2 linked regions of the Oryzias latipes genome follow. The protein of the gene in region 1 purifies or fractionates together with the protein of each later gene. This does not show direct contact. Links are inferred from orthologs where the notes say so. Each region holds a gene or a part of one and is shown on either strand. Other genes may lie near its edges. The genes, in order: mcm7 and cdc6.

The links.
Region 2: the proteins of mcm7 (region 1) and cdc6 purify together in Homo sapiens (affinity purification with western blotting; 3 studies listed by BioGRID). This does not show direct contact. The link is inferred for Oryzias latipes from reciprocal best matches to the Homo sapiens genes MCM7 and CDC6.

Annotation. Positions count from the first base shown.
Region 1 is NC_019868.2:6,627,285-6,631,775, forward strand, and holds the start of mcm7 (DNA replication licensing factor MCM7), read left to right. Parts: upstream 1-1,563; coding exon 1,564-1,594; intron 1,595-2,946; exon of another isoform or gene 2,947-2,989; intron 2,990-3,476; coding exon 3,477-3,556; intron 3,557-3,753; coding exon 3,754-3,918; intron 3,919-4,481; coding exon 4,482-4,491. Other genes in the region: cohesin subunit SA-1, read left to right, coding at 496-546. UniProt on the Homo sapiens protein: Acts as a component of the MCM2-7 complex (MCM complex) which is the replicative helicase essential for 'once per cell cycle' DNA replication initiation and elongation in eukaryotic cells.
Region 2 is NC_019859.2:2,063,601-2,067,914, forward strand, and holds the start of cdc6 (cell division control protein 6 homolog), read left to right. Parts: upstream 1-1,375; 5' UTR 1,376-1,484; intron 1,485-2,029; 5' UTR 2,030-2,036; coding exon 2,037-2,343; intron 2,344-2,413; coding exon 2,414-2,641; intron 2,642-2,717; coding exon 2,718-2,917; intron 2,918-3,033; coding exon 3,034-3,182; intron 3,183-3,267; coding exon 3,268-3,374; intron 3,375-3,448; coding exon 3,449-3,588; intron 3,589-3,669; coding exon 3,670-3,770; intron 3,771-3,843; coding exon 3,844-4,168; intron 4,169-4,238; coding exon 4,239-4,314. UniProt on the Homo sapiens protein: Involved in the initiation of DNA replication. Also participates in checkpoint controls that ensure DNA replication is completed before mitosis is initiated.

The sequences.
Region 1 (4,491 bases):
AAGCTACAAAGATGAGTTGTAAGTTTTTTTCTTCACAATGTGACGTGGTCTGGCCGTACTGACCTCTGAGATCACCAGCAGACCTGCGCCTGAGGACCTGATGACAATGAAGGTCCAGTTTCATTGAAACTTTTAGAAAAAGTAATAAAAGCATCTTAAAATGGATCCTAAAGCCGACTGGGAGCTAGTGCAAAGATTTCCAAGCTGGAGTAATGTGCCGCTACTTTCAGGTTCTGGTTAAAAGGCACAATAAATATGTCCTCTATAGTCAGAAAAGAACATGTGAAAAAGACCAGAAACCCCATTTTCATTGGAGCGAGTCTGTAAAGAAGAAGTAGAGATCCTGTTGTGAGCTAGCTTTAGTTTTTGTTCAAAGTTGAGACGGTTGGAATGATCTGTAAATCAGTTTGTACGGTTAGTGTTCCGCAAACTGTTTTGGTTGTGAACTATTTGATTGTGAAGTTAAAAGCGTCCTCTGGTTGTGTTTTCTTTCAGCCTTCTACAAGGCACACCTCCGTCAGCGTCCTGGATGAGCTCTTTGACTGAAATCTTTCGGGGATCCTCCAGCCAGATCTTCTGGAGCTTCAGGAGTAAAAAGTACTTAAAAAAAAGGTTTCTTTTTCTGTTTGAGAGCTGTTGCCCTTTGTAACTTTGTTTATAAATATTTTTGTTTGTTGTAAAAGATGAAATATTTTTGAAAAGTTGAAATGTTTATATTTTATTGGAAGTAATGTTCGAAACCTGTCAGCTTTTTTATAAACTGAAAGTGCAAGGACTTCTTAGTATGTTGTATTGTTGGCAACATGTGTTTTGTTAAACAGTTTTGTTTATTTTTTTAAGACTCTTATTCAAAAGTGTTGTGTTTGGTGTTTCATCATTTTTGATTTTGTATTTCAAAATGAAATTAAATGTTGTAAAACACAGGTATCGGCCCTGATTGATATGTGTGATGGGAAAACATGTGTTAGGTTTTGAATGATTTAAACATATAAAGCAGTCAACTATATGCTTTAACAACCATGACAGATCATAAAAATAATAGAGCCATTAACCAGAGCTGAAAAAGATACCAGTGATTGCATAAAAATCTCTTACCTCTAGTTTTGTTTACACATTCAATGAGAAAAATTACCTATAAACATGTTTGCTTTTGCATTTTTTTCTATCAAACAAAATGTAGTTTAGGGTTGGATTTTGCCCTGTACCTCCTTTGTCTTGTAGGTTCAGTCTGTTCATGCAAAATCTTATCGTCACATTTCGCGCCATTCCTGACAAACTGGGCGGAAGTTTATCCAGTCACGTGAGACGTTGTCTCCAGCAACTTTCCCGCCACTATCAAATCCCGCCCCTCCTCTGTGAAAGCCGCGAAACTATTGGCTGATGCGATTGTCAGACTCGCGCCACTTTTTGCTCTCCGACCGACAGGAGCTGGGTGCTTGTGAATGAGTTCAGCACTCCAAGAATAGAAAATAAAATATCTATTTAAGCTTTACGTTTGACTTCATCTGGGCTTTGTAGCGTTGCGTTACGAATCATCTGTCGCGGAGCTGAACGCCTGCAGCCATGGCGCGAAAGGATTATGCGGCAGAGAAAGGTAAGGACTTGTGTGTCTGTGGAGAACAGCATGGCAGCAACAGGTTGGCCGGATTTCCTTTTTTGACAAATATCTTTAAACGAAAAGCAAATCGTGTGAAGCTGCATGTCGCTGAACATTTCATATGAAGATTTACGTGTTGATGATGTCATTCATTAGTGAACTTTATCTCATACACTACTTTATCTCACCTGTAATGCCAGTTTTATACTTTTAATTTCTATTTGTCGTGGTTACATTACAGCACGGTGTGTTAGAGTAACCCGTTAAGACATAACTACTCCTAAGATGGTTACTAATAAGTTGGTGAGTCGTACTTCGTTGGAGTTGGTGACTCCGCGGTGACCCGGATGGAGCCTTAAACAAAGGAGCAGGCGCCACACTCAACTTCAACGCACATGCCCTGCGATGGTGGCCCGCAGAAAGTTGACATTTCACAATGTATATAAACAGTCTGCCGCCTTTAACAACAACTTTATCTTTACGTACAAATATGAACGTATATTTTTAACCAGCATAAATAAAGTGCTTTTCATGATTGGGTAACTTCTACAATTTCCCTTTATGGTGAAAAGGCTTTTAAACACCACAAAATCACAGGTTTTGTAGTTCGTGTACACAGAGTCCAAATGTGTGGCCAAAGTAGAGACTCCAGCCTTTTTCCTGAGTGTTAGCATGCTAGCTGCGTAGCTGTTGTGGCGTCCGTGAACGGGCCATTTTGTATTTAGCGCTTCGTGCGGTGACTCAGCCGGCGCTGCTGCTGCTGCTGTAGAGCCGCGCAGTCCGTTCCCTTCCGTGAAAACAGACACGCTAACACTTCAGACTCAGGGTTTTGAACATCTATACAACGTAACTACTGACAGACCCTTTAAAAAACTTGTGTGGCAACAAGCAGAGTCAGGAAAAAACACACACAAGAACACAAAAAACGATGCAACTAAATTGTGCTCAAACACCTCTCAGTGTATGTAAACGGTACTTATTATGCGCCAAACTAGTTTTCATGCTGTTACATGGATAGTTTATGGTCCCCGGGTAAAAATAATTTATGTTACCGTTTTTGGATCAATATATTTCGGGTTTGCGCATGTTTAGAACACCCCTTGGGACTAGTTTTTGCCGTCTCCCCCCTTACCGCTGGGCTATTTATCCTATTAAAGATGCGTTTGGTCGGGGCGGCGTGTACGAATCACTACCCTGCTAGCAGCAGCTAATGATAAAAGATGGCTGGCCGCGGTTAGAAAACAACAGCATGGACTGCTTTTAAGAGCGGAGGAGCCGCGGAGGGATATGAAGTGACGCGGCACAAAAGCCATGTGCTGCTTTGTTTACAATAACATCCTCGACCAGATACGCAATAAAGCCACACTGGCGCTTTCCCGTTGCTACCTACAAGTAAGTTAAATGGTTTTTATCGCCACACAAAGGCTGTTTGTTTGTTAATTCCGTTAGTTCCGCGGTTCTGCTTCCGAAGTTGGGGTTGAAGTGTTTTCAAAAAAGAGGGGCGCCGAAGTGAATGCGCGCTTGTTGTTGTTTTATTTACAACGCGCTCTGAGGAAAATCCGCTCCAGGAAGCCCGTTTGTTGTGTACCCGAAAATCGCGCTAATGTGCGCACCTGTGCGAAAACTAGCTTCCATCAGGGCTCCGGCGGCTAATTGTGTGTTACAGTAGGCAATAGTGACTCATCGAGATTACAGGATGCCATGTTACTCAACAAAGAGGGTCGTCGCAGGACAACAAATTAGCTCCCAGTTTGCAGGCCTGCAGCTTCAAATTGATAATCATTCTGTTATAGGAATATAATGCATAAAACTGTTTTTGCCAACAGCATTCAAACCGCCTTTGTTTGTATTATTAAGACCGGGGATTTGTGTTTTGCAGAAAAGTGCAAAAGGTTCCTGCAGGAGTTTTACACAGAGGACGGCAATGGGAAGAAGGTGTTCAAGTACGGAGCACAACTTGTGAGTACAGCCAATGCACAGCACATGCATTTATGGCAGATGGAGGCGTTTCAGAGAGCGCCTGTTTTCTCTTCTCATTGTCATTATTATTCCAGTTTATCCACCATAATCTGCTTTTTAAATCAACCAACTGAGTCCTTCCCATCAGCTTGTCAACATGCTTGTTTTTCTAATAGCTTTGGTGTGTTTGTGGATAGGTGGCTTTGGCCCACAGGGAGCAGGTGGGCCTCTTTGTGGAGCTGGACGACGTGGCTGAAGAAGACCCTGAGCTGGTGGAGAGCATCAGTGAAAACGCCAAACGCTACACGGGCCTGTTTGCCGACGCCGTCCACGAGCTGCTGCCAGAGTACAAAGAGAGAGACGTGCGTTTTAGCACATTTTTTGTTGTTGTTGTTCTTATTATCTTGTTGCATGGATTATTGCAGTTTGTCTGCAAACAGAATTGTGGTCATCTTTAGTAGTTTTTTGACAATCTTACATAGCTTTGTGGTAGAAGAAACGTGTAATTGTTGTTTTGGTTCTATTGTAAAAGCATTTTCAGTGGTCTTTTAGTTATGATTGTGTTGTTTTTAGGTGAAATCCATGTCATTTCCTAGGGCAGGGTAGGAGCGGGGGCTTGTGGCCAGCATAGCTTCTACATAACAGTCTTTTGCAGAGTGGTCTTCCATCTGCTTCTGATTCACAACAATTTTGATAAATAAGTGCAATGTTAAGCTATATGTCCTCCATCATGAGAACAATGTCACCCAAAACACAATTTCCATCATAGCGGGTCTTTAAAACCGCCCCACACTGACGACGTTCTGCTGTCAGGACTACATTGTGGAAGCAAACGGAATAAAGATGAGCTCTTTTATGCTGTTTCTATCTCAACTGAGCGAACCATCAGCCGGTCCATCAATCTGAATGTGTTTTAATAATTCAGGTGGTGGCTA
Region 2 (4,314 bases), on another chromosome or scaffold:
CAGCTTAAAGCCTTCTCTAATTCCTGCAAAGTTATTTCTGAATCACAAGAATTTCTAAAATTGTCATCAATCTTAGGAATGAAATCTTTAATTGTCTGGAAAAAAGTATTATTGTGGGATTCGGAATAAGATGAAATGCAAAACGGGGGGGGGGGGGGGGGGGGGGGGTCATGTGAGATAGCACAAGGGTTAAATATTCAAATTTTCCAAAAATACAAAGTCTATCCATGCAAGTAAGTACTACATATACCTTTTGGTTTTCCAGAAAATAACTGTTCTTTATGCAATATAAACATAGAAAACACTTGGTCGTCTGTTTTTTGAATGTATATATGTTTACAGTTTTTGGGAGTTTTTTTTTTGGTGCTCATCAAAGTTTCATTTTCCTCTTTCTATTCAATTACAAAAACACAGCGTATTAACCCTTGTTCTATCTTAGATGACCCCCCCTTCCATTGAGGTGTTCTCCCTACCATGACAAAGGTGGATAAAGGTGGAAAGATTTCATGTAATCCATGGACACCAGTGAAGATCACAAATCATTGAAGAAAAAAGGTTCAGAGCTCTGTCTAGTGGGTCTAGATGACCCAACTCCCAATGTTAAAGTGCCTAGGATAGAACAAGGGTTAATTGGTGTAGTTTGTGGTAATAAATTATTATATTTGGCATTTAATACATAATATTAATATATGGATATATTAATTTCTGGGAAATTTTTCATTCATAAGAGCAGATTTTTAAAAATCAAACCATTATTAAATACATTTCATAAAGAAATCTTTTTATATTTATATTGCTGAAATTGATGAAAAACAAAAACGTAATAAAGCTGTCCATTTTTATTGAAGATCATACGTTGTATGACAAACCCTACTATTGTGAACTACAATTCTGATGTTTTTTTTATTTTCTTATTTTTTATTTATTTTATGTTGTCGGTATGTGAATGTGTGTTTCATCTTTTGAAGATCTAATAAAGAAAATAAAAACATGAAATGCATCATAAAGAACTAAACCGTAAAGAAACTGTCTTTGATCCATGACAGTTTCATCTCATATGAGCACAACGAAGAAATACAAAATGCAGTTTATTTAATTTAATTGGTTTATTAATTACAGTAATTCAGTTAATTTAAACAAACATTTTTAAAGGCAAACAAACACAAACGTCTTTACAATCCGGGGAAAACAAGGACCCGCCAAACGTAGTTCCGATTCAATTCCCGCCACCAGTTTATGTGTGAGCAGACGGAGATGACGCAACATCCGGTTGTTTAACCAATGAGCGTCGCGGCCGGCGTCATGATGACCAATCAGGGAGCAGCAGCGGGACATCCGGCGGATGGAGGAGGAGTTGCGGAGGAAATTTTGGCGCAAGTTTGATCTCAGTTCAGCGGTTCGGACAGAATCTGGATCCTGGTTTTAATCTAATCCTGCAGGACGTTTCTCTGTTTTTCAGAGGATTTCTTTAGGATCTCAGAAAGGTACGTTTATCCGCATCTGTTCGGTCTAAAGTTTAAAACCAAACTTGATAATGTTGCAGTTTGTTTGAGAGAGAAATCCGAGGGTCTGTTTCACGACAAAAGAGCACAGTTGTGGAGATTTTGTTTAAATGTTACACTCTCATTCCCGAAACCATGAATCTACATTTTTCTATTCATTATTCTGTGTTTTTCTTAAAGCAGCAAATATGTTTATGATCTGAATTCACGGTTTGATTCCCAAACTACAATTTGGCGCCATTAAAGAGCCAACTTGTTTCCTTCATAGATCTTTGTCATCATAGGGTTAACTTTTAGCGTCGATCATTAAAGATGTGATTGGATTATCATGTTACCTTACGAATGCCTTTAGGAGAAGATAAAACTCTATTATTAAGGTTAATGATCTCAGACAGACTCATTCATTCTCTGTTTAGACAAAGTTTACCCTAAATGGGAGGTTTCGATAGATCAAACGTCAGGAGACACAATTCTAATCCGCTGTCATCATAATTCTCATCCTCCTCTTGTTGTTTTTTTCATCCCAGAGTAACCATGCCGAGCACTCGCTCTCAGAGTGGATCTCAGCCCACGCTGCAGTTCCCTCGCCGTAAATCCTGCAGGGTTTCCCAGAAGACCCCACTGGCCCCTCCGTCCAAACCCGAGTCCTTCACCCCGAGTCAACTTTCACCCCAAAGGCCCGCGGACCCTCCACTGTCACCCCTCCGCCTCCCCGCCAGCCCCCCAAAGCAGCAGAGCAGCGTCCAACCTCTGTTATCACCCAGGCGACCCCGACTGCCGACTCCACCCTCCTCTCCGGCGCTCCAGACCCGGCTGCCGCTCAGTCCACGGAAGCGCACAGGTGAGACCCTGACCGTTTTTACCCCCTGCAGATGTTTACCCCAGTATAAAATTCCGTTTTTCTTCCACAGGTCAGGAAAACGGCTGCAACCTCGGCTCAGACCTGCAGGCTTCTCCTCCAAAGCAGAGCCGGCCGTCTCCAAGAAAACTGGGCAGCGACGAGAACTGCCCCGCCTCTGCTCGCAGACAGCTGATCCCCTCCTCGCCACGACAGCCACGGCGGCAGGAAACGCCCACAGGAAGTCCGGTCCAACATCACAAGGAGAGGCGGCCGCCTGTAGCTCGGCTGTTTGCAGAAAGTAAGAAGAAAAACGTCCATCAGACGATCCACAGAACATAGATTTGAGTAAATAGTTGGCTTCTCCTCTTCGTCAGACTCCAGGTTTCAGAGCGTCAAGCAGGCCCTCCACACCGCCGTCCCGGAGCGCCTGCTGTCCCGGGAGGCCGAGCAGGCGTCCATCCGCCGCTTCCTGCAGGAGAAGGTGCTGCAGCGCCGACCCGGCAGCCTTTATATCTCAGGAGCTCCGGGAACCGGCAAGACGGCCTGCCTGAACTGTGTTCTGCAGGAGATGAAGGTGAGGGGGCGACCCGCTTCATTCCGGGGTTCTAGTGAGGCCCGGGACGGCGTCTGAGTCTCAGCAGACGCCAAAGAACTGCAGTGAGGTTTGGGTTTCCTACTCTGCGTTTGCAGGGCGAGCTGGCCGGCGTTCAGGCCGTGACGGTGAACTGCATGAGTCTGAGGAGCTCGCACGCCATCTTCCCGCTGCTGGCCGACAAACTCCGAGCCCCTGGGGGGCAGAACGGCCTGCAGAGGTTCCTGACCGGCTCCGGACCCGCAGTGTGAGTGAACCAGAAGTGACTGAGCGTTGTTGGTGCACGCCCCCGCTGGCTGTGCCCTCCCCTGACGGACCGGTGTTCTCCTCAGGCTCCTGGTTCTGGACGAGATGGACCAGCTGGACAGCAAAGCTCAGGACGTCCTCTACACCATCTTTGAATGGCCGTTCCTGCCCAAGTCCCGCCTCTGTCTCATCGGTAAAACCTCCAATCGGTTCTGTTTCAACTTCTCTGTGTTTGGGTTTTGGTTCTGATTGTTCCTCTGCCTGCAGGTATTGCCAACGCTCTGGACCTGACGGACCGGATCCTGCCGCGGCTGCAGGCCCGCCTCCACTGTCGCCCCCTGCTGCTGCACTTTGCTCCCTACAGCCGGGACGAGCTGACGGCCATCGTGAAGGACCGGCTGGCACAGGTATGCGCCGCTCGGGTTCCAAGGCTTCTTGGGCCGCAGTTCTCGGTGTGACTCCGGTTTTTGCTGTGCCCGTCCTCCCAGGTGTCGGCCGAAGGGGTTCTGGACGCCTCTGCGGTCCAGTTCTGTGCCAGAAAAGTGTCTGCTGTGTCCGGAGACGCCAGGAAAGCTCTGGACATCTGCAGGTGTGTGAGGTGGTTCATGATCTGTGGTGAGGAACCGTCCTCGGTTCTGATCCGGAGTTTCCGCTGCTTTCAGGAGAGCGGTGGAGATGGTAGAATCCGACCAGAGGAAGAAAAAACTGCAGCCCGAAAACGAGAGTCCAGGTGAGGCAGACCCCCCCCTCAAGCTTCAGCTGGAGGAAGATGTTTGGTCCAAACTGAGACCGAGTCTCTTTCTGTCCCATGCAGCGTCTCGGGTCGGCCTCCCGCAGGTGGCCCGGGTTCTGTCGGAGGTTTACGGCGAGCGCATGGCGTCCCAGAGCGCGGACGGCGAGAGCTTCCCTCTGCAGCAGAAGCTGCTGGTCTGCTGCCTCCTGCTGCTCGTCCGGAGCGGGAAGAGCAGAGAGGCCAGCCTGGGGAAGGTGAGAGGTCGTCCTGAATGTCAGAACCACAGTGTCCGTGCAGACGTGTAACCGGGCCGGTCCGTTTCAGCTTCACGAGGTGTACAGCCGGCTGTGCGCCCAGCGGCAGGTGTCCGGCGCCGGGCAGGGCGAGTGTCTGTCGCTCT